Coturnix japonica: one gene and its partners. The main gene of each other region encodes a partner of the protein of the gene in region 2 in a complex. Links are inferred from orthologs where the notes say so. Each region holds a gene or a part of one and is shown on either strand. Other genes may lie near its edges.

What was found.
Region 1: CNOT2 (region 2) and CNOT8 share a complex: the UniProt entries of both Homo sapiens proteins name them as parts of the CCR4-NOT complex. The link is inferred for Coturnix japonica from reciprocal best matches to the Homo sapiens genes CNOT2 and CNOT8.
Region 3: CNOT2 (region 2) and CNOT10 share a complex: the UniProt entries of both Homo sapiens proteins name them as parts of the CCR4-NOT complex. The link is inferred for Coturnix japonica from reciprocal best matches to the Homo sapiens genes CNOT2 and CNOT10.
Region 4: CNOT2 (region 2) and CNOT7 share a complex: the UniProt entries of both Homo sapiens proteins name them as parts of the CCR4-NOT complex. The link is inferred for Coturnix japonica from reciprocal best matches to the Homo sapiens genes CNOT2 and CNOT7.

What each region holds. Positions count from the first base shown.
Region 1 is NC_029528.1:6,000,784-6,007,659, forward strand, and holds the end of CNOT8 (CCR4-NOT transcription complex subunit 8), read left to right. Parts: coding exon 1-16; intron 17-715; coding exon 716-877; intron 878-1,220; coding exon 1,221-1,365; intron 1,366-1,950; coding exon 1,951-2,061; intron 2,062-2,353; coding exon 2,354-2,503; 3' UTR 2,504-3,678; downstream 3,679-6,876. Other genes in the region: GEMIN5 (gem-associated protein 5), read right to left, coding at 4,915-5,070, 6,152-6,248, 6,526-6,876. UniProt on the Homo sapiens protein: Has 3'-5' poly(A) exoribonuclease activity for synthetic poly(A) RNA substrate. Its function seems to be partially redundant with that of CNOT7.
Region 2 is NC_029516.1:32,448,300-32,455,857, forward strand, and holds part of CNOT2 (CCR4-NOT transcription complex subunit 2), read left to right. Parts: intron 1-3,088; coding exon 3,089-3,236; intron 3,237-3,860; coding exon 3,861-4,043; intron 4,044-6,863; coding exon 6,864-6,943; intron 6,944-7,558. UniProt on the Homo sapiens protein: Component of the CCR4-NOT complex which is one of the major cellular mRNA deadenylases and is linked to various cellular processes including bulk mRNA degradation, miRNA-mediated repression, translational repression during translational initiation and general transcription regulation.
Region 3 is NC_029517.1:37,316,508-37,324,671, forward strand, and holds the start of CNOT10 (CCR4-NOT transcription complex subunit 10), read left to right. Parts: upstream 1-4,033; 5' UTR 4,034-4,213; coding exon 4,214-4,235; intron 4,236-6,673; coding exon 6,674-6,765; intron 6,766-7,546; coding exon 7,547-7,708; intron 7,709-7,950; coding exon 7,951-8,101; intron 8,102-8,164. UniProt on the Homo sapiens protein: Component of the CCR4-NOT complex which is one of the major cellular mRNA deadenylases and is linked to various cellular processes including bulk mRNA degradation, miRNA-mediated repression, translational repression during translational initiation and general transcription regulation.
Region 4 is NC_029519.1:56,945,648-56,953,205, forward strand, and holds part of CNOT7 (CCR4-NOT transcription complex subunit 7), read left to right. Parts: intron 1-470; coding exon 471-615; intron 616-4,852; coding exon 4,853-4,963; intron 4,964-7,241; coding exon 7,242-7,370; 3' UTR 7,371-7,558. UniProt on the Homo sapiens protein: Has 3'-5' poly(A) exoribonuclease activity for synthetic poly(A) RNA substrate. Its function seems to be partially redundant with that of CNOT8.

The DNA of each region.
Region 1 (6,876 bases), on a different chromosome or scaffold from region 2:
TCAAATTCAACCTCACGTGAGTCTTCTGCATTAGGGAGCAACACCAGAAGAGATTATGTGAGGCTCAATGCCGGCATGACAGGCATTGCAGTATTTCTGGAATGATGTTATGATCTCAAACTTTACGTGCTTTTTATACATTTCCATATATTTTATGTAATCAATTAAATGCATGTATACTTACTATATACTTACTATAAGCTGATCATGCAGTTCTTGCAAACAGAAGTGGCAGTGTTTACTTGCACAACTGTCAGCCTCCTAAAAGCATTGGAGTCATAACAAAGAGGTTTTGACACTGAACGCTATTTGACTCAAAGTTATCATGTTTGGTTTGAGTTTTATTGACACTGTGACTCAAAGTTATCGTGTTTGATATGAGTTTTGTTGACTTCTCTCCCATCATCTGTGGCACTTCTGTTCCCTCAGTGTTACTTTTCAAGATGTCTGTTGTGTGAAGGTTTTATGGCATTCTTCAGGTTTGGCAATAGCGACAGAATTAATATTTGGTTAAGATTGCAGAATAGCTTGTTAAATGCATAGGAGTAATGGTATTAAAAGTGATTTGAGCTTCCTAGAGACACAGCCATGGAGCTCAGAGATGGATTGCCTGCAGGTCACTCTGATTTTCCAAAATGCAACTTGTGAGAAATCTTTTGGCAATGAGCCTTCCTTGTTAGCACCCTGACTGCAAAGCTCTGCTTTTCTCCTTCAGGGAGGATATGTACTCTCAGGATTCCATAGACCTCCTTGCAAGCTCTGGGCTGCAGTTCCAGAAGCATGAAGAAGAAGGGATTGATACCCTGCATTTTGCTGAGTTGCTCATGACTTCAGGGGTCGTCCTTAGTGACAGCGTGAAATGGCTGTCGTTTCACAGGTAGGTCTGAGGTGATTACTGGTACTACAGAACAAGATGCCTCTTTTTGGCTTAAATAGTGCTGCTTTGGACCATAGAGACTAACAGACCTTAAGGAGATGGATTTTAGCAGCTGTGCAGTTCTTAATATAAGTTTTAAATTGTAAAGGCGAACTTTAAGTACTGGTACTTCATTTTATCTCAGCACCTTCTGTGATCTGTATTTTGTGCGTGTTTTGCTGTTATCTTCCTCTATGGAAAAGAAGGTTGTAAGTATAGAAAAACACCCTAATGAGACGAATGTAACACTGATACCAGCTGAGTACAGGTGTTGTTTATCAGGTTTCTCTATGTTTGTTTTCAGTGGTTATGACTTCGGCTACATGGTGAAGCTGTTGACAGATTCCAGGTTACCTGAAGAGGAACATGAATTTTTCCATATCTTGAACCTTTTCTTCCCATCAATCTATGATGTCAAATACTTAATGAAGAGCTGCAAAAACCTCAAGGTAACTTTCATCTTTGATGCAAACGAGGGCTGGATGGGCAACATCCCTACAGATATGCAGGAAGCCAAATGACAGAACTATTGTCTCTCAGAATTGGAGTATAAAATCCAGTAGTCACAGACACTTAAGGCTAAGTTTGTATCTAATAAGTACTACATCCCCAGTTAGAAGCTTGTCAATATGTTTATTATGTAGGGAATGTTGACATAATTGTGTCTATCTTATTACTTTTTTTCACCTGCACAGAGTGGAACACTTTTGTCATACGTGAACTATTAATTGCTAGGCACTCAGAGGGTTGAAAATTATTTATGTACTGAATCACAGCCTTGGTTCAGGAAAGGGTGCAGCATTTGTAACCTGTGAATGTACCCACAGTCATCTCATGCGTCTGCAGCAGGAAAGCAAGGTACCTAAATTTGAGTAGAGTATTTCTGCGTTCTTGAACAATATTTATCATTGTATTTCACTCATAGCTCACTATGTTGCTGGAATCTGCATATAATATATTTAACAGTTGTGTTCTGGAGCAGTGTGGCACTTATGGTAGGACATAGAAAATAAACTTGACTGTTTCCATTGCAGGGTGGCCTTCAAGAAGTGGCAGATCAACTGGATTTGCAGCGAATTGGAAGACAACACCAGGCAGGATCAGACTCTCTTCTCACAGGAATGGCATTCTTCAGAATGAAAGAGGTAATGCAGTGTTCTTTTTGGTCCTCCTTTCTCTCGTCTCTATCCATCAGCATCAATACAAACCATGTGTTTTTGGTGTTGCTTTTCTTTTTGGCTATGTGAGTATCACCACACTTCAAAATGGTCAGTAATAAGAATTGTGTATACTGGTATAGAATCTAATCTTTGTCTTACTGCCTATGCTGAATCCTAGAGGTGCTGACTTCAGACAAGCTCTTTCATTAAGGTTAGGTGCTTTCCAGTTTAGAGGAACAATTAAATAATTTCCTTTTTTTTTCCCTCTTCTCCGCAGCTGTTTTTTGAGGATACAATTGATGATGCAAAGTATTGTGGGCGGCTGTATGGCCTTGGCACAGGAGTGGCTCAGAAACAAAATGAAGATGTGGACTCAGCCCAGGAGAAAATGAGCATTTTGGCTATTATCAACAACATGCAGCCATGATAGGTGGTAGTCCTCAGCAGAATATGGTTACTATATTGGCAGCTGCTGTCACCTCACCCATTTTCCCTAATGCTGTCTCAAAGGCACAGTACACAATCTCTGGAAGGCTGCAGTTTTGCTGAAGAGCTGCATCTTCATTTGAAACCTTGGACAGAGTTGACTCAATTCCTAATGCCAGCATTTGTGATTTGCCATCTTTTTAATACGAAGGGCAAAAGACAGAAACTACTGTGTATACCTCTGTTTTTTTCCTCTTTATACTGTACAGAATCTGCAAGGAAGACTTAACAATGTAATAATATTCCTTTAAGACAAGGACCTGGAAATCCAGTGAAGTCAGACACAGACGTGCACATGAACTTTCAAACTGTGCTTTAGAAAGCTTATTTTAAAACTTCTGCATGTTGTGAGGGTGACAGCTTCACCTCATCTTTTGCTTATTTTATCTTTGTGTAGTCTGTGGAAAATATGCTCCCTTTGATCACTGCAGAGGTTTGAGAAAGGATAACATTAAAAACGATCCTTGCAGCTAAAACTATTTGGAGATTTGCTTTAACAGTGGGAATGGATATTACTCGAGTCTCAAGTTGATTTGGTCAGCTTCATGGCTTCTATTTCTCTGTGGTACAGGCTTGACCCATACTGAGCCTTGGCTTAGTTCTTACAGGTGTTAAACAATTCTAGATAGAAATTAAGAGGGCCTTTTGCTTGAGAACCTCTTGACAGGACCAATATTCTGACTTCAGTCTTCTTCAACTTCACCTACAAATCTTAGTCTCATTATGACACAGTTAATTCAGAACATGGATAAACTTGTTCCTCTTCTCCCTGCTTTTTACTCCATGCTTAATAACTTCCAAAACAGCTCTCCGTCATTACAAACATCTGAATCAGAGCTAGAGAATGGATGAACAATGTGGGATTCTGACTTCTAAAGATCAAGTCATTCTATAATACTTTTTCTTCCCCAGCAGCTCTGTAATGACGTTATTGAGCAAGAAAAAGACCTGCAAAAGTTTTGGATGTGGCAAACATAGAATTTTGACTTGGTCATGCATTTGACACAAGCTTAAAGAATTCATTATTAGGAAGGAGGGTTTAGAGCTGGGATTTGAAATACTTGTAAATAGAACCTGTTTTTAATTTTTGTAAAATAAATTTTTTTTTAAACAAGGCCTCGTTTGGGAATTTTAGTACTTGATGGAACTCAGCCTTTGGAATCTGAACTCAAGAGATACCTGCATGCAAGAAAGGGAAGATGCTGAAGTTTCTTTTACTAATGATGTATGACTGAGATAGTTCTTAAAATTTGCTTTTATCAACTGTTCTTCGATAACCTTGTGCTTAAAATCCCTGTGGTGGAAGAACCTTCTGTTAGCTCAGCAAGCAGCTTAGCCACTTAAAATGACAAATCTATTTTGCTGATGCGTCCTGCGTGACATTTTCCTGCCTCAGCTTCACCGATTCCCACTTAAACGATAGGAGAGCTGTTTGGTTAAGCAGTAGCTCCCCCTCCTGGTTCAAGCAATTCCAAGTTAGTGAGAACAACTCAACGGGTCAATGCATCTCTTGATACAACTAACTCCCTCCTTTTACCTGCTGCTGTTGAGTCATTTTGCTTCTAGAAGTTGCTGAGGCTCTTTGCAGCCTTGTTCTTTCAGAAAGAAATCATGTTACGATGGAAAAAAGCTCCAGTAAGCTGTAAGAATGGCCAGAACAGTTCAGGACTGCGGGATCTAGGATCACTTTTGACACTTGAAGAAGAGAGAACTTGTTACTACCTCAAATTTACCCTCGCTGTATTTAAAAGCTAACAAACAAAAACACAAAGCTGAGTCATGGTATGCAACAAACACCTGCTTTATCCAGCAAGTTCGATTTCTATTGTATTAGCAGTGACAAAAATAATTACTTTTAATGACATCTTACTAAATGCCCATTCCTGCTTGTAGAAGACTTTATTTAAAGAAGGGGAAATAAATTCACACTTTTCTTAAGTACAACACTGGTTTAAAGGTCAGACTACTTGAAGGAACCATTATTTTCTTCAGAGGGCAGCTGGTGCTCTTCTGCTGGAAGACAGCTGCTCAAAACTATTTTGCATGTAAATTCCAAGAGATTTCCTTAGCATAACTTCCAGCAAATAAAAGACGTATAAAACTCCTGTATAGAGTTTCAAGGCTGCAATCTACTACTTTTCAATTTCCTAATGTAATCTCATTAAGTAGCAGTTGATAACCGTGAATGTGTGGATATAAACCTGATTTGTTTGTAATATTATCCAAAACAGTAGTCATCAGTAACTGTATCTGTAGAAACAAGCCTTCACTTTGAAGAAAGAACAGTCTTGTTGTTAACTGGTGCTAAGTGATTGCAAGCAGCTCAGAGGAGGTGTGTCTGGTCTCAAAAGGTCACGTCAAGAACTTCCTGACAGCCTTTTCATAAACGTCAGCACTACCGTGTTTTCTAAGGAGATCCAATGCCTGTTGGTGTAATTCAGGAGGACACTGGGCTCCAAGGTGAAGGAGTACAAGGCAGCACTCCAGCACATCAGGGAACGGAAAGACCTGCATGCAAAAAAAAGAACAAAGAGTGAGTCCACTCTTTCAGTTAGAATTGTTTTACTACAAGACGTTCAAGCAGCTCCATCTAGAAACTGCTTTACAACATCTATTTGGGGAGATGGGATTTTTCCTCTTCTTCCAGGACATTAGCACACATTTAACCAAGTTGGCTCCTCTGTGCACTATCACCATAAATACTTATAGACTAGACAAGAGAAGGGATGATGCAGCCTAGAGATGTGATTTACAATCTCACACTGTGGTGTTTGAAGAGTTTCTAATTAATATAGGCCATTTTATAACTGACATTCGTGACTTCATTATCAAAACTGTTTCTGCATATGAAGTTACTGTACATAACAAGGGACTGCTCCTCGAACACATGGGAAAGATTCATACAAGATATCCCATTGAGTTGTCTCATGCAGAGACTTCACCTGCGTGCTCCAACTGCATGGAGAAAGTAATGCCTGAAGCAAGAATCCAACCCTGATGCCAGGTATTAACTTTCTCTATCAATTAAAATTGCTGTGGGATTAGTTCAGGGAAATGGAGGGTGATTCTGCCCACCTATATCAGCCAGCTTATATTTATGTTACTAGCACCTTTATCTTACAAATCTAGAGTGCAGCTGGGGCACAAAGAAAGTCACTGATCCTTCTGTATAAAAAAACCATAGTATATGACTAGCAAAAATGCTGAGTCCCAGCCTGAAGCAGTGATGGAGCACCTGGTGGAAGGCAGGGCCAGCTCAGGAGAGCTCAGGTGTATACAATGCTCCTGAGTGATTGGAAGGGGTGGAACCAGGATCCAGCCCTTCCCAAACCTCATTTAAGGGTTGGCAGTGGAAGCGAGGGGATTCTGCTGGAGATCCCTGCATACCTGAAGCCTTCCAAAGGTAAGTGATTTTTTTTTCCCTTTGTTTCTGTATCTACAGCTGCTGTGTTTGGGCTTCCCATTTGCTGCAGCCTAGGGCTTTGCCGCCCCATTATTACTACTGTACTTTCTATCAAGTTATAGCATTACAATGACTTACAAAAAGACTGTCTTCTTTCAGACTATACTACTTGTTTTGAGAACTTACCTTTAAGCTGTCTGGAAATTCTGCTAGTTTCTGCTTTGCTTCCAAGAGTTGCTTTGTTAGTTCAGGGAGGGTAATTGCTTCTTTTACTTCATCTTTACTGTTAAGAAAAGAGCATGTGTTGTAATTGTTTTGTTTGAATGACTGTGTAGCCTCCCTGCTATAATCAAACCCACCTATCAAAAAGTCATTCAGTTGCAATAAGTTCACACACACAGTAACGCCTTACGGAAATGCAAGACTTCTTAGGCCTACATTTGGTGTCCTGGAGTGATCAGCATGAGATTAGAAGTAATGTGAACTAAGTCAGAAATCCACTGTGCAAACATAAACTAAAGGGCAACACTTTTCAATCCATCTCATGTTCTAACGCTTACCACTTGATCTGGCTGCTGTCAGAGCATGGTTCGTCCGGTTCTTTCTCTGAACTCTGCTGCATATTGTTCTCATGGATACTTCCATTTGTGCTTTCCTGGAGAGTATTCCTCTGCTGCTGATGCCGGTGGATCATGTCGGCTAAAATCTTCTGGACCTCAGCTATATCTCTCTGTGTGTTCTGTAAAGCAGCGATCGCTTCTGAAAGAAGCACTTTGCAGCCATTCAGTTTTGACTGTCTGTCTGCCAAACCGACTGAGTTAGTTTCTGAGTCACTTTCTGTCTTGCATCTATTACATTCAGTTGTACTGCTGAGGTTTTCATCCAGCTCAACTGCAGTTTGATCAGGAGTT
Region 2 (7,558 bases):
AAGATATGGTTTTTGCATTGTCTGTCATCCATTTCTGCAGTGTTTGGTATACAAGGTGTCACATATTGACACCGTATAGCCATTAAGTATCCAAATACAGTCATCTTATAAAGAACGTCTGGGACTGAATTAATTGAAGAAAAGCTAAGTAAGGTGAGCTGGGTCAAACCAAACCTCCTTCAGAAAAACATCTAAGGGCTAGAAGGAAATTGTACTTCATGGCTTATAGGAGCGGATTAAATCTTGCCCATATGCTTGGCAACTCATATTTGGCAAAGAAGTATGCCAGGAAGATTGTTTCCTGCCTGTCCACTGTTTGTTTTGTTCTATCTCTTGAAGATTTTTTTTTTTTTTTCCCTTGCATCTGCCAGTCTTGTGTATACTGTTGCTAATGAAGACATACTGAGAAACAGTAACACTGTGCAATGCTAGACCTGATGTAAGTGCTGGAGTGAAGAGCTGAACCTCCCTGTAGTTAAGAGGGGCACATGTAGATAGTGACTCAGAGCACCTGAGTTACATAGAGTTTCACAAGTAAAACAGGTTTGTGAACATCTTTCAATACTCCATGCTTTTGAGTGTTTGCAGCTTTCTAGCCAAGTCCATCTGACTCAGGCACTAAGGAAAGATGTCTTAAGAATATTTTAGAGTGTGGATGTTTTAATTTGGACACACTAAAAGCTTTGTCTCCCAAGTGCATGGCCTTCATAGCTTATTTAGGCTTCCTTCACACAGTTTAAAACGTCTAGTGATTTGTTTACTTTTATTTTTTACTATCCCTGTGGCTGTTGATGAGTGTCTCTGTCATACCAGTGGGTATTTGATTGCCCTGCTGGGACTTTCTGGCCAGTCCAAGAGTCAGGTTTAGATTTTTGGGTCCCTAATCTGACACTGCTGAACCTTTCAGGCTCAGCTGCATAAGATACTGAAGTAGCTGATTATTTTTAGGGGTGAATATTTTTTTCATCAACTTTGTTGTTCAGTCCAGTTGTTTGTCATGTTTTGGACACAATCTCTTGAGCATACAGACTTGTGCTGCTGAAAATTCAGGAGTAACTATTTTCAGGGTTCCAAATATGGAGAAACTGCTGCATTTGTGTAAATTCTTATGATTAAAACATTCTGGGAGGGACAAAGCTTCTGTCCAGGTACTTTTAGATAGATAGCTGTCCATCATTTAGCAAAATGTCATTTTAAAGAATTAAGTTAAACTTAATTTGTAGGCATTAAAAAATAACCACTTAATCAGTTGACAGATGTCTTGTCTCAGTGTAAATGAAAAGTATGGAAAAAGAAGGCATAAGAGAAGGTTTCTTTGGATGCTTTTGGTTGGTTTGTTGTTGTTGTTGTTCATTTGGGATTTCTTTGTAATGGCAAATATTTCAACTGCCCTTACTTGCCAGCCGCAGGAATACAGGAGCAGAACTACTCATTAAAAATTCTAATTAAAGAAAAGCAACAACTAGAAGAAATGCTATTAGTGAAAAACTGACTGTGTTGGAACAAATGCTTGCACAAAATCAACCTGAATACAGTAATCACTTTTATTTCAGTGTACCATCTCTAGAAGAGCATGGGTGTTTTTTTTTCCTTACCATTTTATTTTTTTAAATTCCACCTAGTTGTTAATTAATGTGAAATATTATTTATAATATATATTTATGCTCATTGAAATTATTCTGATGCAGCAAATTGCCAAAATATTTACAGCGAACACCTTGATATAATCAGCAATTAATGAAGTCTTAGGAGGCTTCTTATAGTGAGTCACGCTCCTTAATCTCAATTGATAAAGTGGAGTGTTATCCAAATCGCTCGTTGCAGACTTGTTGAGGGAGAACATTGGGGCAGGCAGAGCTTCTGCAAGAGTGAGAGCTGAGCAACTGGGAGGTTTCTTCGGACCTCGTCCATAGCAATAACTGGAGCGTATGCTGTGTCTATTCTTTGCGTTCTTAGTATTTCATCATGTCATACGCTGGCATATTCAGCTCTGCTGTAGGGGTGATTTATCATTGGAGAGTGCTGATTCGTCTTAATTTTTCTTCCTTTTGTCTGCAAGATAAGGTTTTAAATTCTCTGAGGCTTCCTCAGCAGCCTCACACCAAAGCGATAGGACTGTTATTTATAGCTATCGCGTTTTAGATGCAAGCATGTTTCTGTTGATCTGCTGCACTAAATGGCTTTCTCTTGTCTTTGGACATAATTTTAAAACTTCATGAATACAGAAAAGGAACGTGGAAACGATCAGAAGCTCTGTAAAGTATTCTGACGTTTTGAGACTGGTTGTTTTTTGTTCTTCTGAACTGAGATGGTTTCTTTTTATCGCGCGTTAATAAAGTACTTTCGTAATTTCACAGCACCCAAATGCTTGCATAGAAAATAATTTTTATGACAATGTAAAAAAAAACAAAACAAGCAAGCCCCCAAACCAGCCCTGTGTGCTTTTAATTCCTAGTTGAGGATGCTTAAATTCTACTTGCTTTCAGTCCTCAAAAAATTAAGTTTAACCTGACTTTGGACACTGTAATTGCCTTAACAAAAAGAAGCAACTCAGACTTTATAGAGAAGTGTCCTAAAATATTCATTCCGATGCTCTGAAAGCCATGTTATGAAATATTCCTAGTTTTATTTTTTCTTAGTTATAGGTTTGCGTATTTTTTGACAAGCTAGATGGACGTTCTAGATGCTGGCCAAATATGTATCCATTTATTCAATTGCAATAACCTCGTTCTTCAGTGGAGATGTTTATTTTCTCAGAACACCGACTTTTTAAATATGTGGATTTCCATGTAGATGTCCTCGTCAACAAAACCACAGCTCCCCCTCTTCTATTCAGAGTACATCTCAAAGGAAACAAAATCTTGTTAGTGACTTAAAGAGCCTTTCTCGAGTTTGACAAGAATGGGGCTATGTGTGAGGTAACTGGGCTTGTAGTACGCAAGCAAGGACTTCATATTACGCTGCACTTTCCTACAGTCTTTACACTTTTTGAGGTTGTCAGCATAAGTTGTTTCCATCCACACCTGATGGCTAAGACTTTGTTCCGGATCGCTATGTATCTCCACCCCTCTGAATTTTTTTTCAATAGGTGCACTAGGCCTTCCAATGAGGGGAATGAGCAACAATACCCCTCAGTTAAATCGCAGCTTATCACAAGGCACTCAGTTACCGAGCCACGTAACGCCAACAACAGGGGTACCAACAATGTCACTTCACACGCCTCCATCTCCGAGCAGGTATTTATTGATAGCCAATGTTTCTGCAATTGTGTCTTTCGGCAGAGCACTTACTAAATGTTCTGCGTATCGTGCCACAGCTACTTTTAGACTGATTAATTAAAAAAGAAAAACAGTAATTTTTTATTGACCACTGCCTGTGTTAGGTAAGTAATACCGTAAAACGGTAGGATAAGACTTAACTTAAGACAGTGTTTGATTTTGTATGTAAAGGATGTAAAGTTGTTGGCAAATTCTGCTTCAGAATGTAAGAGTCTGTTTTTCAGTTGTTCTGGTAAACAAATGGTAAATGTTTTTATATGGCTGTATTACAGTATGAAAATATTAAGGTAGTAGGTCTGAAGTGCTCTTTAAATAAGAGTTGTAACGCCTCTTCAAAAGCATAGTACTTAAGTATTTATCTGAACCTGACCGAGGACTTGATTGGTACGCAATGGGTCATCTGGTGTTTCTGAAGAAATCCAAAACTACGTTAATTATAGAGAGTACTCCAAACATACAGTGTTGAGTCTAAGCACAAATTAAGTTGCTACAACTCTTAAGTGTATCCTACATGAGTAATTTAAATGAGTAACCAAATACTATTGTACAGATTCATCTCTGTGGATGGTTTTTCTCTTTCAGGGGGATATTGCCTATGAATCCTAGGAATATGATGAACCACTCCCAGGTTGGTCAGGGCATTGGAATTCCCAGCAGGACAAACAGCATGAGCAGTTCAGGGTTAGGCAGCCCCAACAGAAGCTCTCCAAGCATAATATGTATGCCAAAGCAGCAACCCTCTCGACAACCTTTTACTGTGAACAGGTAAGGCTGTTTGGTCAGACCATGCCTGTGCAGCCATGGGCGTGCTTAAGATCTGCTTTCAAAGTCTATTTTTTTATCCATTAGAATAAAACTTGAAAGTGTTGCTTTGCGTCTTCCGGTCTCTCAACGCTAACTTTCCAAGCTGCTGTCAGTAGTTGTGCAGCCATTTTTGAAGCCTTTCAGCTAAATTCTGTTTCTGACTACTTAATTTCTACTATTCCTTCTTTAAAGTATGTGATGTTTCTAGTATGTTCCCAAGTTTATTTTTGAAACAGACTTTGTTTTTTGTATGTATACATCTTCTTGAAAACTCTCCATCTATGAGTTTGGGAAGAATTTAGTCAAGAGATAATCCAGAATAACTGTTTCAAATTGTGGTTCTGTAAGAATAGTTAACTGATTTGGACACAATGGAGACCTCATATTTTACTTTAAATTCTGGAATAATATGGAAAGCAGTGGTTTGCAACTCATCCAAGGTGCTTGTTTTGATGCCAGAATTTTCTCAGTTACTTCTGCTCTTTTTTTCTAACTCTGGGCAAGATTGTGGCATCAGAAATCATTGTGCTTTACCTGTCTTGTTGATATGTTTATGCTTAGTTTATATTGATAACCTTGTAATAAAATGTGTGTCAATTCCAATTACATAGTGTGTAATCAGCTTCATGCAGCTGACTGTTTTCCAGACTTCTTTCCGGAGCCTCATGATCCCTGTGTTCCCAGGTCATTCCTCTTTCTCGCTTCATGCCCTAGGCTAGGGGACTGAGCTCAAATACACTCCTGGCAATCAAATGCTACCTCTAACCCAGTGTAGTATTTTTACTAATCAAATGAAAAAAAATGGATGCCAGTTATCTGAAACTTGATCAGTCTTCTTAATTCTGTATCTTTGCATTATGATGTAGGCATAAGTAACCTCTTTCTTCATCACAGCAATAGAGGTTTGATAATAGTAATTTGTGTTCTTGGAGTATGAGAAGACTTTGGTCAGAGACCACTCTGAAAGTAATGCCTCCTATTTTATTTCCATGGAAACTACAACAGATATAGAGACTATAACAACTATAACAACAGAGAATTTGATGGAGCAAATTCTCAGCTACGAAACACCATTTTTCAACATAGTCACTGCTGTTAGCTATGCATATTTGCCCATGATGAGCAAGACCTTGCATGCCATGCTTGTCAAAATCTGCACCAGCTGAGGTGACCCACTCACTGCCTCAGTGTGCTCACACCCACTGTTTGGTCTCCGTAAACATTCAGTAAGTTCCAATGGAAGCCATTTATTCCAGATGGAGGAATTCACTTCCACACCTTTGCTTATCCGTGCTTCCATCTCAGGTGCCATTGTGTCAGACTGCCCCTCTGCTGCCTTCTGTCACACAGCAACAACATGTAACAGAATATTGGTGGGATGGTTCAGCCCCCACTGCCATACCACCAACATCTGCTTCTGATGTTGTGGGATAACACAGTAAAATAGGAGGCATTTCTTAAAGAGCGGCCGTTGTGTCTTGGCCTTTTCTTTCCTGTGTTGTGCCAGCAGGCAAAGAAGCTAATAATTTTAAAACATTATTTTATAATTTTAAGTGTTTGTAAAACTTCAGCATGGATAAAAAAAATCTACGTGCAGAGAATAATGATTTTGGAGGTTGATGTATAGGAAGTACTTGTTTAAACAACATCCAGCTGTAGGGCAGAGATAATGAAATTCCATTCTGTAGGAGCGTTTGAATGAAAACTCTTCTTTTGCTGTTTGCACTGTATAGCTCATGTTAATGATGGTACAGTTTTTACAAGCTGAGAAGGACATATTACTAGAACAATGCCAAGTTCTTACTTCATGTTTTATTAGCCTACAAAAGTATAGTACATGTCCAGTTGTTAATTGACTATATTTAATGAAATGATGACATGACATTTGAAAAAAAAGTTTTTATTTCCTTGAGAGGTACATGAATTATGTGACTTCCATGAATTGTTTTGAGAATTGTTCCTTTTCTTGGAGCAAAGAATGACTTCAGATCTTTGAACACACAAAATACTTAACTTTGTCTTTCTTGGTTACATCAGTAAAACATGACGAAAGCTGAGGTAACACAGGTTAACAAACAGTTTACAAGTAAGTGTAAGGAAATACGCATCTGGTAGCCTAAAACCTTTCTTATCACTGGAATTCTTGGTCTAGTTAATTCTAGTTATTTTAAAAACAAATGAACATGCACAAATCATTTAGGTGTTTGTCAGACCACAGCACTCCTATCTAATTCTTAGATATCTTCAAGTATATTTACTTGTCTGTATGATACTTTAACTGGTATCCTTGTATGGCAGATACTGTATGTTGTGATGGTTGCATACAATAACTTTCCAGCTTTTAACTGAGTCACGACAAACTTGATCCCATCAATGATTCAGCTTCCACCCTCAAACGAATGCTCTCTAATCTGACTTTTTTCTATTGTCTTTACTATTATTTCATTTTTATGTATGAAATTACCAAGTAAAATGCACATTTATCATAACTTGTTGGCTGACAGATGTCAAAGAACTTGTGTCTGTTTAAAAAATAATAATAATTTTTAAAAAGCAGGTTATTTCAAAGTCATTTCAGTTGTCTTCATTCAGCAGTGCTTGTTGCTGTTCGGAATTTTCAAAGGTATGAGGGAAAGTGATAAAAAATTGAGTTTAGGCTAAAGTGGATTGCATAAGATGACATAATTTAAGTGCCTTTGGCTTTTTTTCCTTGATGCCTTCAACTGGAAATTATGAAAGTCTCTATTCTCTTTTCTCTGACTTCTTGGATTTTTTTCACAGTATGTCTGGATTTGGGATGAACAGAAATCAGGCGTTTGGAATGAATAACTCCTTATCAAGTAACATTTTTAATGGAACAGGTGAGTTTACTCTTAATTTATGCTGATCTCGCAGTTCAATAGAGAGATTTTGGTTTTGATTGGATAAGGTTAGAAATACTTCGAATACAGTTGTTGAACGGAAGTGTTGCCCTTAGAGAGCAACTCTGCGCTTTTATTCAGCAGATTCTTTAAACCTGACATTAATGCAGAAAAAGTACTTTATTCTAGTTTCAAGATTCTGTGGGGAAAGTGTATTAAAGGTTTGTTTGTTTTCCCATAGCATAAAATAACAAAAACAGTGCTCTGCCATCTGTTGTTATTGCTTTAGAGCAGTGGCTTGTAATACTTCTGAAAGGCCAAGTACAAGTCTGCTGTAGAATAATCACTGTACGTCACTTGACTTGAAGTTGTGTCTGTTCAGTTAGGAATGCAAAGTAGCTTATGGAATTGGATAGGAAATGGGAGAAGGAATATTTCAAACATTACAGAGGATAAACACAACAGGGCAGCGTTTTTAGAGACCTTGAAGTGATCCTTTTGGTCAGTTGTTTTAGTTGGGATTTTTCCCAGGGAATTACTCTTCACCTGACTTTAATTAGAAAGAGATCAGTGTTCTCATGTAACAGTGCTGTAGGCTCACGGTGCTTTGGTATT
Region 3 (8,164 bases), on a different chromosome or scaffold from region 2:
AAGCAGACATCTTACTATGGTGAATAAATCAGTTCCTGCTTGTGCTGAAAGGCACTGATGTAATCACAAAATGATTTAGAGACCTCATTCTTTTCCCCTTAAACTGTGTAACACAGGAAGTTTTTGTGAGTTAAGGATTGGGGTTTGGAATCCTGTTGAAATGAAGGCTCTTCTATCAATCTGAGCCTTGAAGTGGACACTGAACTTTCACAAGCTTTAGGCCAACCTTCTCTACAGGAAAGTAAAGAACCCAGAATGTAGAGTGATTTCTTCATGGTTTTCCTTCCTTGACCACATTGATTTTTGGAGAATTCTAACTGGATGCACAGATTTCTCCTGGATGAAACCAGAAAGGGGAAAAGTTGTGGAATTCTATTTTTTAAAAAGTGTTATTTATCCTAGCAAAGTCTGAGAATGTAACACAATTCAGGTGATCCCAAGACAAACCCATTAACGGAAAAAGATTGTGAAGCTATCATGAAAGCCAAATGGAATGAAAACACATAACAGTACCACAAGCAAGCAGAATCAGAGTAGATAAAAATGAAGCAGAGGAGTTAGGTGATGCCACAGGGGAATTAATTACCAGGTGCTGCATGCTGAGAGGAGACAGTAAGAACACCTTTGCCAAAGGGGAATCAGAGAAATGTATTGAGGCTGTGGTGGCACCCGTTCTCTAACTGCCTCCAACTCCATTGATCTATTTCCCCATGGTATCCTGGCTCCCAGGAGCTCTGCACCCCCTGCTCCCATCACACACCCCAGGGATGGTGAAGCCCCATCTGCCTCAGCTCATCTCCCAGGCCCTACTTCCACATTTCACTGTGACCAATGCTGTCATGAGTGGTAAGTGTTGCTGGGAAGATTTTCTGCCTCTTTTTGTGTCTGTTAAAAAAGGTGTCAGAAGGGTTTACTTGAGGTGTTTGTCTTGCACAGCTGCTGTGGCTGCAGGGTGAATCCACCACTCCTCCCCCACAGCACCACCACTGCAAGTTCCAGCGTCAGTGAGGAGCAGGATCAGAAATAACAGCAGCAGTGAGAAAAGTCAGCTGGCTTCCACCTGCGAGGACACTGGAGTCTGGTGTGGCACAGACCTGCGTGAGGCAGATCCAAGCAGAACATGCTGCTTCCCAGCAGTTCCATGGCTGGGGATGTGATGTCTGGTGTGAGGGCTTTGCCCCATGGAAATCCAGGATGTACTGGGTCATTTTGCTCCTTACCCAAACCAACCTGTGTGAGTGTGCCAGGAGTGCGAAGGACCTCAGAACAGCTTTTTACAGCCATCAGCCTGCTCCTGTGGCTCTAAGTGAGTTGCTAAAGCAGACACAGCCCATGCTGGTTCATTTACTGCTTGCAGACAGAGTAAAAATGGCAACAGTCTGCAATGCACCATCATTTTCCAGGAAAATATATTCCATGGCACTCTGAAGGCACAAATACTGCACTGAAATGAGGTATATTTTATTGCCTTTGGTGGACAGATTCAGAAAAAGAGGATTACTAGACTGAGACTAATAATTGCATTCAATGTACTTACATTTACACTAGTTTACATTTTAAATAAGAACTCCATCTGTATGGGGAAATGCAGTCCTGGAACATGCCTTGTTTTATTGCATAGTGCCACCTACGGGTTGGACTCTTCTAAGGTTTAGAGGGGCAAGAGATAGGAAGCCCTATTAGTAGCAGGGTAGGTGTTAACCTAATCGCCTGTGATTTGGAAAGCAGCGGGAAAAATAAAGTACTGCCAAGATTTCCATATTGTAGTATCTGGCCATAGAACTGTAGTTTTTACAGTTTCCTTTGGAGCTGGCTCTACTCTTCCCTTTCTTAGCAGCCTGGCAGTGATGGGGTTGTTGTAAATCCCTGTTTTCTCCCCTATGATCTGGGTTTTGCTCGTTTGTGATCAGCAGGGAGGTTATCTGCAGCAAGGCAGGGGACGGGATTGCTGTCTTGATGGTTTTGAGAACGCAAGGACTAAAAAGAAAGCATTGAATTAATTGTGATGATTTATTTCTTGAAAAACTAAAACTCCAAAACAGGAGTTTTAGAAGATGACTTTTATTTCTAACACACTTTTTATTCTCTCAAAGGACATTTGAATTTATTCTGTATCTCCTTCAGCAGGTGGCGTACCTGCCTCTCTGGAACCAGATGCATGTTCTTCTGTCTGCTCACTTGCCACGATTCTCAGGCAGAATAATGCAAACCATACATATGTGTACTCAAGAACCTCTTTCCCTCGTCCTTGGAGGAAGGTATTGATGTTATTGCTGAATTTATTTTTCAAGGACAAATGTCAATTACATTTTTGATCGCATGACCACACACTTGGACCACACAAAGGGTGTGTGTCTCTTCATTGTCTCTCACACACATAACCATAAGATTTAATCAGTAATAAGAAGGAGGAAAAGATATTCTATTCTAACCAAGAAAATGTTTAATCCCCTAGAAAGGATAAACATTTTCATTTTGGAAATATATGACAAAAGATTGTTGTAAGTATCCCTCGGGTAAACAAGCCCTGCAGTACATTGATGGCATGAGGGATGAAACAAACTACCATGACTGTCCTCCTGATGTCACGATGGAGAAGAGATGCAAAGCTGGGTACCAGTGCTGCCATACTTCAGGCTGAATTCGCTCTGACAGGACTGTCAAAGCAAAAGTACAACAGGGAGCAGTAAATTCACAGTGGTGCCTCTCTGTGTTAGTGCAAAATGCTCTGTGACTATCGGGCTGCTGTTCTGGCACTGGCAACAGACACTGTACCCAACCTGAGAGAGGCGGCTGCCTCTCTCCACATCAGACATACCTGAGCATTCAGGAGCAGGCATTCAGAGCAGGGAGGTTATGTGCATGTTGAATTCTTTCTAACTTTGTAACTTTGTTGTTAAACAAAGTATCACCTTTCCTTACAAACCTTCCCCTGCATTGTGTCAAAGTAGCATTAGGGAAAACAGAGTAGCTGGATGCCTGTGCCAGAAATAGTACAGCCAGCAGGAGCAGGGAGGTGATGGGATGATCCCTCTGTGCTCGGCACTGGTGAGTACCTCAAGTACTGTGTTTGGTTTGGGGTCCCTCACTGCAAGGACATTTACGAAGATGATCAGGGGGCTGGAGCACCTCCCTTATGAGGACAGGCTGAGGGAGTTGGGTTTGTTCAGCCTAGAGAAGAGAAGGTTGCGGGGTGACCTCATTGCAGCCTTTCAATACCTGAAGGGAACTTACTCCCAGGAGGGGAGTAAACTCTTCGAAAGGGCTGACAATAGCAGGACACAGGGAAATGGTTTTAAGTTAAAAGAGTGAAGATTTAGGTTGGATGTTAGGGGAAAGTTCTTCACTAGGAGAGTGGTTAGGCCCTGGAACAGGCTGCCCAGGGAGGTTGTGGATGCCCCGTCCTTGGAGGTGTTCAAGGCCAGGTTGGACAGGGCCCTGGGCAACTTGATCTAGTAAATGTGTATGTCTGGTGGCCCTGCCAGGCAGGGGGGTTGGAACTACATGATCCTTGAGGTCCCTTCCAACCCGGGTCATTCTGTGATTCTGTGATTCTGTGTGATCTGTGATATTGAGGCCCTATAGTGTGTCCAGAGATGGGTAGTGAAGCTGTGAGGGGTCTGGAGCACAAGTCTTATGGGGAGCGGCTGAGGGAGCTGGGACTGTTCAGTCTGGAGGAGGCTCAGGGGAGACCTTATCACTCTCTACAGCTGCCTGAAAGGAGCTGTGGTGAGGTGGGGGTCAGCCTCTTTTCACCGGTAACAGTGATGGGATGGGAGGGAATGGCCTCAAATTATGGCACTGAGGGATGTGGTCACTGGGCATAGTGGGGATGTGCTGGTGGCTGGAATATGTGATCTTAGCCATCTGTCCAACGTTAACGATTTCATGATTCTACGATTCTAAGAAGGCTGGCAGACCAGCCTCACTCCGCGCAATGCCAACAACATGGCGGCCGGGGGGACGCAGCCAGGTTGCGAGGCGCATGAGCACGGCGCCCCTTCCGGGGGGAGGGGGGGAGCGCAGCGGCGTCGTGACGTCAGACGCGGTCCCCAGCAACGGCCGCACGTCGGTGGGCGCCGGCAACCCGGAAGCGGCGGGTAATAGGGACGGAGCGGCGCGTAGGGACCGGAGGGAAAGTAGTGCCACAGCGGCCCGGTGTTTGGTGGAGGAGCAGGGGAACGTCTCGTCTCGCGTGGCAACGGTGGCAGAGATGGCGGCGGACAAGACTGCGGGTGAGCGGGGGAACGGCCGTGGGCCCGGGCGGAGGGATACGCTCTGGTAACTGGTACGGAAAGGCCTGGAGGCTATGGCCGCTGGAGGTGCAGCTAACAGGTGTGAGATCTCGGCCTTCAGCTTGTAACCATAAAAGTGACTTTGCAGGAGAGCTTTGTTTAAAACACTTGTTCGTTTTTGTCTTTCTACATGTGATGTAGAGGCATAGTGAAGTCTGTAGAGCTGCCCTGATGCTTCCCTAGGAAATACACCATGTAGCTGTGTAAGTGGCACGTTTCCTGGGCAGCTAACAGTGTCTTTCATTTATTGTTTGCTTACCTAAAGATGTGTCACATCAAGGTTCAGACCTCTGTGAGCACCATATTGCTTGTTTTACCTGCTTACCAGACAAAGGCGGTACCCAGTGCTGCGGCTTTGCCTGGCCCTACCGAGAGCTAAACCTGTGTATGTGGGGAGCTCCTGGTCAGGCTGAGCATTAGAAACGTCCCAAGGTTTCGATTCTCACATATCTGCATTGTTGTTGCTTATGCTGGTGTAACCTTGAGGCCTGGGGAGCAAGTAAAGCAGATAACCTATCTGTTAGCATGATGGTGGGAGGGAAAATGCATTTATTTCTTCATTGCTGTTAAAAAAGGTCCTTGAAAGTCAGTGGGTTCTCTACCACAAATATTAAGGAGTCAGATCTATTACGTGGTTAGTATGAGGAGAGATGCTTCTTGTTCCTTTCCTCTCTGTCTGTGAGAAAACTGTGGCACATCAAAGCTTTTTGAACTTTTCTGATGTTTGTTTTCTCTCTCCTTATGGAAAAGGTTCCACTGGTGAATGCATTATCACAGAATGACCCGGGTTGGAAGGGACCTTAAGGATCATGTAGTTCCAACCCCCTGCCTGGCAGGGCCACCAAACATACACATTTACTAGATCAGGTTGCCCAGGGCCCCGTCCAACCTGGTCTTGAACACCTCCAAGGACGGGGCATCCACAACCTCCCTGGGCAGCCTGTTCCAGGGCCTAACCACTCTCCTAGTAAAGAACTTCCCCCTAACATCCAACCTAAATCTTCCCTCTTTTAACTTCAAACCATTTCCCTGTGTCCTGCTATTGTCAGCCCTTTCGAAGAGTTTACTCCCCTCCTGGGAGTAAGTTCCCTTCAGGTACTGAAAGGCTGCAATGAGGTCACCCCGCAACCTTCTCTTTTCTAGGCTGAACAAACCCAACTCCCTCAGCCTGTCCTCATAGGGGAGGTGCTCCAGCCCCCTGATCATCTTCGTGGCCCTCCTCTGGACCCTTTCCAAAATCTCCATGTCTTTTTTGTACTGAGGGCTCCACACCTGGACACAGTACTCCAGATGGGGCCTCACAAGAGCAGAGTAGAGAGGGACAATCACCTCCCTGCCCCTGCTGACCACCCCAATTATGTGCAGTCAGATTTCACAGTAGGTGTGTGTAGTTCTGTAGCACCCTCAGAGTCCATCCCTCCCAAGTACTAGAATTGCTGTACCCTGAGTTTTGTCCATTTCGCAGCCCATTGCTTTGTGACTCGCTGGTGAAAGATGGTTGAGTTTTAACATCTCAACTTCATGGGCATCATGATGCAGGGTGGAAGCCTCAGCAAGCAACAAATAGATTCTTGCTGAAATGTATGATTGTGTAGGATGGTGGAAAGTGTTTCCCTGCAGCAAATGCAACCCAGGAACTGAATGGTGACTGTGTTTTGATCCTGCCATGGATATTACATCGGGAATGTCCCTAGGCCTGGTTATTATTGTTGTCCATCCTCGTAAATAAACTTCAAGTGTTTGTAGCCAGTGAGTAGTGGATGATTCAGGTGTGTTGGTGCTTATGGGGAGTGTATTTTGTAGTGGAGATCGTAGAGGAATGTTCTCATTTGTTTGGTGTGAAAACAAAGTTAGCAGAGTTTGCATTACATCCTTTCTTTCTAGGAAAAGACAGACATTGAATATACAGTGCCCACCAAACCCATTAACATGGCAAAATACGGGCTCAAGCAAAAGCCTTGTTGTGGAATTGAAGAATTAATTATCTGCAGCAGTGGAAGCCATGGCAGGTGTATAATCTTTGTTTCAAAAACACTACGTGAACATGTGAGTTGAGGTTTCTAGATACAAGCTGGTCTGGTGTGGCACTGGTTGTTCTGGTTTTCCCTCCAGTAGTTTTGAATTTTATTGCAAAGAAATTGAAGACAATTAAAACCATGTTAGATTACTGTACAACTGCTCAAACCATCACAAATAAAACCTTACATGCTGGACTGGTCTTCATCTAGAAGGGAACATAGCAAAACTATAGTTGCAGCATTTTCTTAATGCTGTTCCCTACAAGCTGGCAGGAGGATCCTGAGAACGGGCACAAACAATGTTTTTTGAGCTGAATTACTTCTGTTGTGTTTACAAACTTTTCTATCATCCTTTGTCAGACCAAGGTGCTGAGAAGCACGATGGAGCTGGTACTTCAGGAATCACTGATCAGGAGAAGGAGTTGTCGAGCAGTGCATTACAAGCTTTTCTGGTAAGACACAGCCAAGCCCAAGCTTCTCTTCTACCACATAACTGCTAAACTGGTTGATAGAATTTTTTGTTCCCCAGTTTTCTTAGCATGGCGGAGAATGTATTAGCAAGTTATTATACTAAAATCAATGCTTGTATTACAAAGCCAGTGCGTACATTTCCATAGAATCATAGAATCGTATCATAGAATGGCTTGGGTTGGATGGCACCTCAAGGTGAGCATAATATTCTTGAATAATTCATTCAGCAACATAAATTAAGGCTCTCTTGGGAAAGTTAGGAAAGGTGTGTAACCTTCCTCTTCTGCCGGCCTGTGTTAAGCAGACATCCAGGGGCTAAACTGGAACTCAGTCTGAAGATGAAGTGAGAGACAAACATAAAAAGGTGGGCCACGAGTTAGACAGGCAGCTGCTCAGTGTACGTGTGATGGAGACAGATTGTGGAAACTGAGGAAATAAAGAATCTTGAAGCTTGATATAATGACGCCAAAAGAACAACAGTTTTTGTAGAAACATGTTTGTAATAGTTAACTGTTCTATTTGTTCTTTCTCCATTGAATTCTTGTTCAGTTTTAGTTAGGACCTCAGCTTTGACTTGCTTCTCATACATTTCAGTCTGCATGACAAATGGAGTTGGTGTGGAGCTGTTTACTTGTGTTGGTCAGGGAAATCCTACATTGCTCTCTAGACTCAGAGAGAGGAGGAGGCTGCCATTAAAAATTATTGACTTATTAGAGGATACAAAGTTTAAACTAATCCCTTTGTGATGCCTGCTGTTTCCAGGCGGGAAATTATGATGCCTGTTTGCAACACCTGAACACCCTTCAAGACATAAACAAAGATGACTACAAAATAACTTTGAATACTGCAGTTGCAGAGTTTTGTAAAAGTAACCAGACCACAACAGACAATTTGAGACAAACCCTGAACCAGCTGAAGAACCAGGTAATGCAACCACTGCATGATATTTAAGCATTGTTAATGGGGATGGGATCTTCCAGTGAAATAGGAAGACAAGTTTTGCCTCTTCCCTTTGTTAACTTGTAACTGTTACTGCCCTATCTTTAGGCTCATTAGTACCTTTGGATTATTTTTCTATAATAAACATTTGATGCTTTAACATCATAAGTTTGGAAAGCTTAAGGATAAACAAGATTCAGTTCTGTGTGTTTTGGGTTTTTTTTCAGGTTCACTCTGCTGTTGAAGAAATGGATGGTTTAGATGATGTTGAAAATAGTATGCTTTACTACAATCAAGCTGTTATTTTGTATCATCTGCGTCAGTATACTGAAGCTATATCAGTTGGAGAGAAGCTGTACCAGTTTATAGAGCCTTTCGGTGTGTAGGCAGAAGAGTTTTGTTTGTGCAGTAACGAGGCAGAGTAAATGATCTTCCTCTGCT
Region 4 (7,558 bases), on a different chromosome or scaffold from region 2:
ACAAGCTACTAAAAGTGGTTAGCTGTTTAACTTTGTGCTGATTAAGTTGGGAGAGCTGAATGGCAGCCTGCTCTTCATCACTGCTGAGGATTAAACTTACCTCCAACATAATGTGTTTACTCGTGGAAGTCAACAATTGCTTTGGATTTCAGAGTGGAAGCCTGTTCCTCTCTTTCAGTCTGGTGAATCAGCTAGGTGTCTTTCTGTTTAAGTTCTTGTTTGCAGATCTGATTAGAAGATCTGATAGCAGGTCATGTTTTTGCTTCTTCACGTGGCCGCTTGAGGATAAAATAAAATGTTTTCTCTGGAAGCTGCAGTGGGGCCGTTTACACTAATTCTTACTCTGTTGTAAGAGTCAAAGCTGCATTGGACTAGGCAAAATATCTTCCTCTTAATGTCTAGTAGCCTTCAAGTCAGAAGTGAAGAGTGTTTTTATATTATTTGACTGTATTGTTTTTGTTAATTTGCAGTGGATATGACTTTGGTTATCTAATCAAAATCCTGACCAACTCTAATTTGCCTGAAGAAGAGCTGGACTTCTTTGAGATACTGCGATTGTTTTTCCCTGTCATCTATGATGTAAAGTATCTCATGAAGAGTTGCAAAAATCTGAAGGTAAGTAATCTGTTAGTGGTTCAGTCCAGACATTTTTTTGTGGGGAGGGGAGAATACCTTCTGCTAAAAGCTTATCTTCTGTATCCTGGTTTTCCACTTTTGCTCTGGTTATATCCATTAAACAGGACTTGAACTTGGTGCATATTTAATATTAAAGGCTATTGATAGAGGCAGGCAGAAGTGCACGTCAACTTTTATAACTACTTACCAGTTAAAAAATATTGTGTTGGCACTGTATTTATAGCTATGCCCAGTTTTTGTTGCCAGATGATAAACTCATGTTTGGGATATAGATCCTTCACTTCTTGAGCAATAAGAATTGTTGGGTTTCACGTACTCTTATTTCCTCATTGTGCAGTCCACTAAAGGGCTGCAGTCGTCTTCACAAAGGTAATTGCAACGGTGATGCTGTGGAAGTCTCTTGGGAAGAGGAATGGAGTGAAGAATGTTTCAGATGGCCCTATAAGGAAAGATAAAGAGCAGCGTATATTCAGAAGCAGCACGTGACTTCTAGAGGAAAAAAAAATAAAGTAGTTTTAGAAACTAATCTCTCATATCAGGCCAGCAGGGCTGCTAATTGGCATGACGTTTGGAGACTTAATTGAACTGGAAAATGAATTGAAACAAAGTATGTTGAAGGGGAAGACAGCGAAGTGAAAGATGCTACAGGGATTGTTAACGACTGTACTTGCTAAAGAACTTTAAGATTCTGGACTGCTACGGGAATGAAGTGCACCACTCACCTGAAGCAATAAATGACTTTGTTGCTTATATGGAAAATAACTTGATTTTTTTTAGTCTTTCTTAAAAAGAACGTGAATAAACAAACAAGAGCATTGGCTGTAGTACAACTAAATCCTGAGGCATTTCACTTCCTCATGCTGAATGAGTGGTCTGCATGGAGTTAATAGTCCTTTGTTTCCTTGAGGTGTTTAGTGTGTCATTTAAATAGTAGCATCCAAAGATGTGTAATTTCTTTTGTGAACCAAATTGCTGATAATGGAGATCTCCCTTTTAGTTATTAAGAAAAGTATACTTACCGGACTTCATCCAGTTATTGGGAAAACCAGTTGGGCAAATGGCTGGACATTAGAGAACATTTTAGACATGTTTTTTCTTCACAGAAGCTAGAAAGGAAAAAAAACCATCAAGCTTCAGAAGTCTCCTAAGGGTTAGGGGCAGCAAATTCAGCACCACCACCAACAAAAAAAAACCCACAAACTTTCTCACTTCTGAGTGAAGTAAAATGTCTCTTGTCTTTGTGGTGGTGATATACTTATCAAGAACAGTATGTATCATCTACTTCAGTGACCTGGGAAAGGCAACAAAATGGCATTCCATAGTGCTGTTCCATAGGTGATATTCCAAGTGGTTTTGGGGAGGAGAGAGTTATATTGTCACTTAATTAAGGCAGTTGTGTGTAACTTGCACTGTTTAGAGATTCAAATGCATTTTGGAAGATAAGAAAAACCTTCATGAGTCTTCTTTCAGCAAAAATTAAGAACAAAGGTGTCTTTTTGAGCATTTAATATGTAGGTGAGCTTTCCTGCAGCAAATCTTATTCTTCTTAGCTGCAGATTGGTAATGACAGGAGGGAATGTGGGCTATCCTACCACTCTAAGCACCAGCAAATGAAATTATTGTGGACTTGTACTGTTCTGAGAGCAGCTGTCTGAAAAGAAAAGTTGCTAAGTGTTGCATATTGTGACTCAAAAATTGTCATGTTTGGTCTCTATTAAATGGCAGAGAATTGAACTGCTGTGCAGTGGTCCTTTATTGACTTTTATAAGTTATTTTCATACAAAAAACAGACTTACTCTAAGCTTCCCACCTACCTCTGCCCTCACATAGCCAAAAGTGAATTTTTAGCATTGATAAGACAAGTGTTTGAGGATGTGGAAACTGTTTGCTGCTCTTACAATGAATCCACAGTATGCTACTCTAACAAAAATGGACATCAGTGTACTACACAGCAGGCAGACTGTGACTAACTCGAGGTACTTGTGTAGTACAGGTTAAATTCCTGCTTGGGGTCTAAAAATCTTTTCATGCAGGCAACTCCATACAGTTTTTGCAGTAATAGCAGTTCTAAAGTAGATTTATAGGCTGTTCTTTCATTTTCTTCTGAATCCCTTTCTACTGCCTTTCTTCCCCACAAGTTAAATATTCTTATGTAGAGCGTGAAGTCTTTCCTGTAATAAAATTTCAGTAGCCTAATAATCTTTGGAGGCAATTGTAATGATATGTTTACAAATGTATCTACTGGTGACTATATGTATTGGAAGGGTTATTTTCAAAGCCTTCTTTGCTTTGCTGCTGTTCCTATAAATTTTGCAGCCACTGTGTAAATAGTACTGATTTGTGATATCAGGTGCTAAGTGAAGCTGGTATAGATAGCCTAACAGCTAGCACTACGTAATGATGAGGCGATGTTAAGTGTCAGCTTGGGAAAGTCAAGAGTTTACAAACAGCAAATAGTGCTTTGGAAAGGCAACTGCTGTTGCTAATGCCAATAGGAAAGTTAGGTTGTAGAGAATGTGCTTTTATTTGAGATCTGATTGATTTTCTGCCCATCATCCCTGAACTTCCTTAAGGGTCTAACTTAAACCACTGAATTAGTGTATATGCAGTGATTGAATGTTATCTCTAAGCAAAGGAAGAAAACAAACTTCAGTGCTTGACTGTACTACATATAGGGTAATTCTCAAATTTAAGCAAGTGATACTCACCTGTTCAAGCTAGAATAAAGCTAGACATGCCAGTACCGTGTTGGTTTGCTTGGTGTTACTTGGGAATGTTATTACTGGAGATTTGTTTTTAAGATGTGTTGCATTTAGATTCATAGAAATTTTCATAATGTTAGGTCTGACCTCTTGGTCAGATTTCTGTTAGTGTATCAATTCTAACACTGACTGTTATACTTTTACCTCTTATTGTTTCCTTTTCCGTGGTTGAAACAGGCTAAAGGTTTTGAGGACACAGGTAACCTCAGATGCTGGGCAGTATTGATTTAAGATCGTTTTGTCTGTGTGATGTTTTTACCCTGCAAAGGCTTGTATTTTCACTAAAGGCTTCTCCTTTTCTCCTTGGTTTTTGATCTTTCTGGACTATAAGGCACATGCCACATGCTTTAGTGCATTTCTAGGGATTTAAGGCTTAATGTTTTTTAAATAGTACAAAATTATATTCCCACAGTTTACAAAGATCACAGTTGAAGTATCATGCACATCACTTGAAAGATAGATGTATCTACATAAAACCAAACTAAATTTCTGACTGTTTGCTTCTGTAAATGGTTATTATAGGTCTTATAGGGGCAGGTAGGTTTGCAGTGATTTCTGTACCTTTTCAGTATGTTATTTCAAACCATGTGTCAGCATTCAGGCAGTGAGTGTTAAATGGTTCCTTTTTGCATGTGGGATGCTTATACTCTTCTGTAAGAGGTAAGTTTCATTCCATGTGGTGTGATTGTTAAATATACATCTCTGAGAGGAAGTTGACTTATGTCTTTGGTTTTCATTGTGTTGAAAAAACAACTTGCAAAACAGAAATCCATCATTTGTATGTTCTTTGTTCCTACCCTCTTGAGGCAGTTAATGGAACAAGTTTTAAAGATGAGTAGAATGTCTTGTAGGGTTGGGCTGTGTACTTGGGTTGTTTTTTTTTCCTTATTTTCCTGTAGCTTCCTAGATATTTAAGGATACTCCTAGTTTTTATAAAGGGAACTGAAAAACCCTCAAATGGTCTGTTAAAAAGTGGAAGAGAAAATGAGTCTGTTTCAGAGGAAGCCTGGATACTTTTAACAAAGCACCCATTTGTAAGAACTTGAATTCTTGTATTTGTAGAATGACATTTTTACTGTTTAAACTTTCATTCAAATAGAAGGGTTATAGGAACACCTTGTTTTGTTCTTCAGCTTTGCCAGTCCTTGCAACCTCTTGAAGGGATTGTTTTGTTAAGTAGCAGCGTCTGTTCCCTCGGGAGGATGGAACATGAAGCAGTAGTAGTTCTATTGGACACAGGCGCTGCTTGATTTAAGCTCCTCTGAGATGGAACTGAATTCAACTGTTGATAGAGAAAGCTTTATCTTCCATCAAAGAGACTATTTAAGCTTCTGTGCAAGCATTTAAAATATGCTGAAGTTGAAAGTCTGGTATAACAAGTTCTTCCCAAATACTGATGTTTGGTTTTGTTTTCATTTTTTTTTTCAGCAGTTAACAAATGTTTTCATTTTCAGGGTGGATTGCAAGAAGTGGCTGAGCAGTTAGAGCTGGAAAGGATAGGACCACAGCATCAGGCAGGATCTGATTCTTTGCTCACAGGAATGGCCTTTTTCAAAATGAGAGAAGTAGGTGCACGTGTCTTGGTTTTGTCTCCATAGTAGTAATTTGCTGTAATAGATGGAATTGCTGATTCTGTTACGTCTGATGAATTTTATGGTGATCTCTAAGGGGCTTCAGAGGCCCCTGCTTTCTTGACAGACTTAAGACTGTGTTTTCCCCAGACTAAGTGTAAACCAGCCCTACTGTTTTCCCTGTTTAGCTACTGTGAGCATCACTGCTTGTTTTCATTGTATGGCTGGCTTTGTTGTTGTTGTTGTTTCTTTCTTTCCATTGCCTGTTTTGCAGGATTTCTTCTGCAAAGTGGCTGCTGGAGCCAGGCTCTTTTCTGGGTAACTGTATTCGGGCTGCTTTTCTGCAGAGCTTCTGCTGAGCTGTAATACCCAGCTGGTGTGCACTGCTGCCTGTGCCAGGCCTAGCAGCAGGGAATGAGCAGCTCTGCCTGCGCTGGCTGCTTCCAGCTAAAACTTGCGGGGTACATATGTATTAAACCTGTAGGCTGCTGCAGAGAACGATGCAATTGTTCATCCTGAGTTCACCTTTGGTAAAGCACAGACAAAATAACTCAGATTCTAAAACATGTCAGTCAATTTTGCAGAAAGGGAAATCAAGACTTGTAAGCTTTGTGTGTCCATGCTACTTGTCTGCATGCATTGGGAGAATATTAGGATATTTTGTATGAGCAGAATAAACAAATTCTAAACAGGCTTCTTGAAAGCAGTTACACTGGACAAATGCTGGGGCATCTGAATGTGACATTCTGCCAGGAATTTGGTGTCATTTAATAGTGGCGATAGCGAGCCTCATCTTTTTGTAGGGTTTAGTGTTGAATGCTGAGGCTTCTACTTGCTGTAACGTGGCCTTTTTTATAAAGGAAAAAAGCCGACTGTGAGTTTCTAACAACTGCTAGTGAAACAGCAGATGAAATATAAGTGCTGTGATGTAATCTGGCTTGCTCATCACAATGCTGTTCTCCTCTCCTGAAACTGTTGATGTTGTTGAGCTGGTCATGGGTTACGTAGAGGATGTTGCTTATGATGTGGTCCACCTGTGATCTTCACAGGTGCTGTTAACTGCAATCTTTTGTATTTGAACCAAAATCTAAAGCAAATAAAGGAAGGTATTTGATTATACCTAAGGTGCAAGGTGCTGACTTTCAAAACCCATGATCGCCATGTAACAAATTGCATGTTATTATTAAAGAGTTTGTTGTCTCAGAGAAAAGAAATGTAGCTTTTAGTACAAATCATTTGTTTAAATAAGCCAACAAAGATTGATTGTTTTTTCAGGGTTTCTTTTAAAATACAACATTTTGAAGTAAGAACATCCTAGTCAAGAGCAGCAAATATACTTAGAGTGCACTTCTAAAGCCTTTTCAGTTGAGTTCAATGTTTAGCAATGTACGCTGGAGTGAAAAACGTTGTTTCACAATGTTTTTAAACGTACAAAATAGTGCTGATAAGTGTTAATAATTGCTTTTGGAACTTCAACTTGCTGGTTCGAGTCCCAGCCAAAAAATTTGGATCTTTTTCTTCCCATCAGAGATGTGTTAATATTGATGCTGGAACAGCAAGCTGTGGTTTAGAGGTTTTCCTCTCTGCTTATTATTCCTGCAGTACAGAACCTGAAAGGTTCTATTGATAATTAAGACTTTTAAAGTCTTATGTAAATGTAGTCTTGGTTAAAAAAAAAAAAAAGCAGTTTCCTTTAATGTTGCTGCTCATTGTTAAATGAAGCCCTCTTAGAGGATGTAGCTGAGAAATGCAGGAAGATACATTTGCCGAACTCAGTAGTTTCTGTGCTTGAGCACGTACCTCCTCATTCTCACCTCACACCCACGTAGTATAAATCTGTTTTAAGACAAGGTGTGATGGAACCCCCACAACAATAAGCAGGTAAACTGTGGGCACTTGCAATGAATACCAAACATACATCTGCTGTGAGAAAGCAGAAAGAAATATGCCAGAGAAAATATTTTGTTGTGCTTTCAGAAAAGCAAGTAATAACGGAGGTAATACCAAACTGCCAAAACATGGTCGTTTTGGCAGGTGAGGTGCACAGGTGACTGTTTGTATTCCTTCCTTTAAACAATTGCACTGTATAGCACATTTTGATCATGTGTTGAGATTAAATGCATTGTTATGCTAATTCTGTCATTTGAATCTTGGGATGTGATATGCAGTGCTAAAACCAACAGTGTAATGTCTTTTAGCCTTTCTGTCATTCTGTTTAAACTGGGTGTTTTTGGTGGCATTAATTTGTGTCTTTTTCTTTTTAACACTTCAGATGTTCTTTGAAGATCACATTGACGATGCCAAATATTGTGGCCACTTGTATGGCCTTGGTTCGGGGTCATCTTATGTACAAAATGGCACGGGAAATGCTTATGAAGAAGAAGCCAACAAGCAGTCATGACACGAAATGAAAGGCCGTCTTTTTGAGCTCCACATGCTTGTACATACGTTTTATCTCTGGTTGAACCCCTTGGACAATAAGGCTTTTTTTCTCCCTTTCTCAGCACACTTTCTTTTCTGCCTTTCTATGTATTAAACCTGACTGTTCCTATCACAGATTTTGATCTTGATATTGATATGTAGAATTTT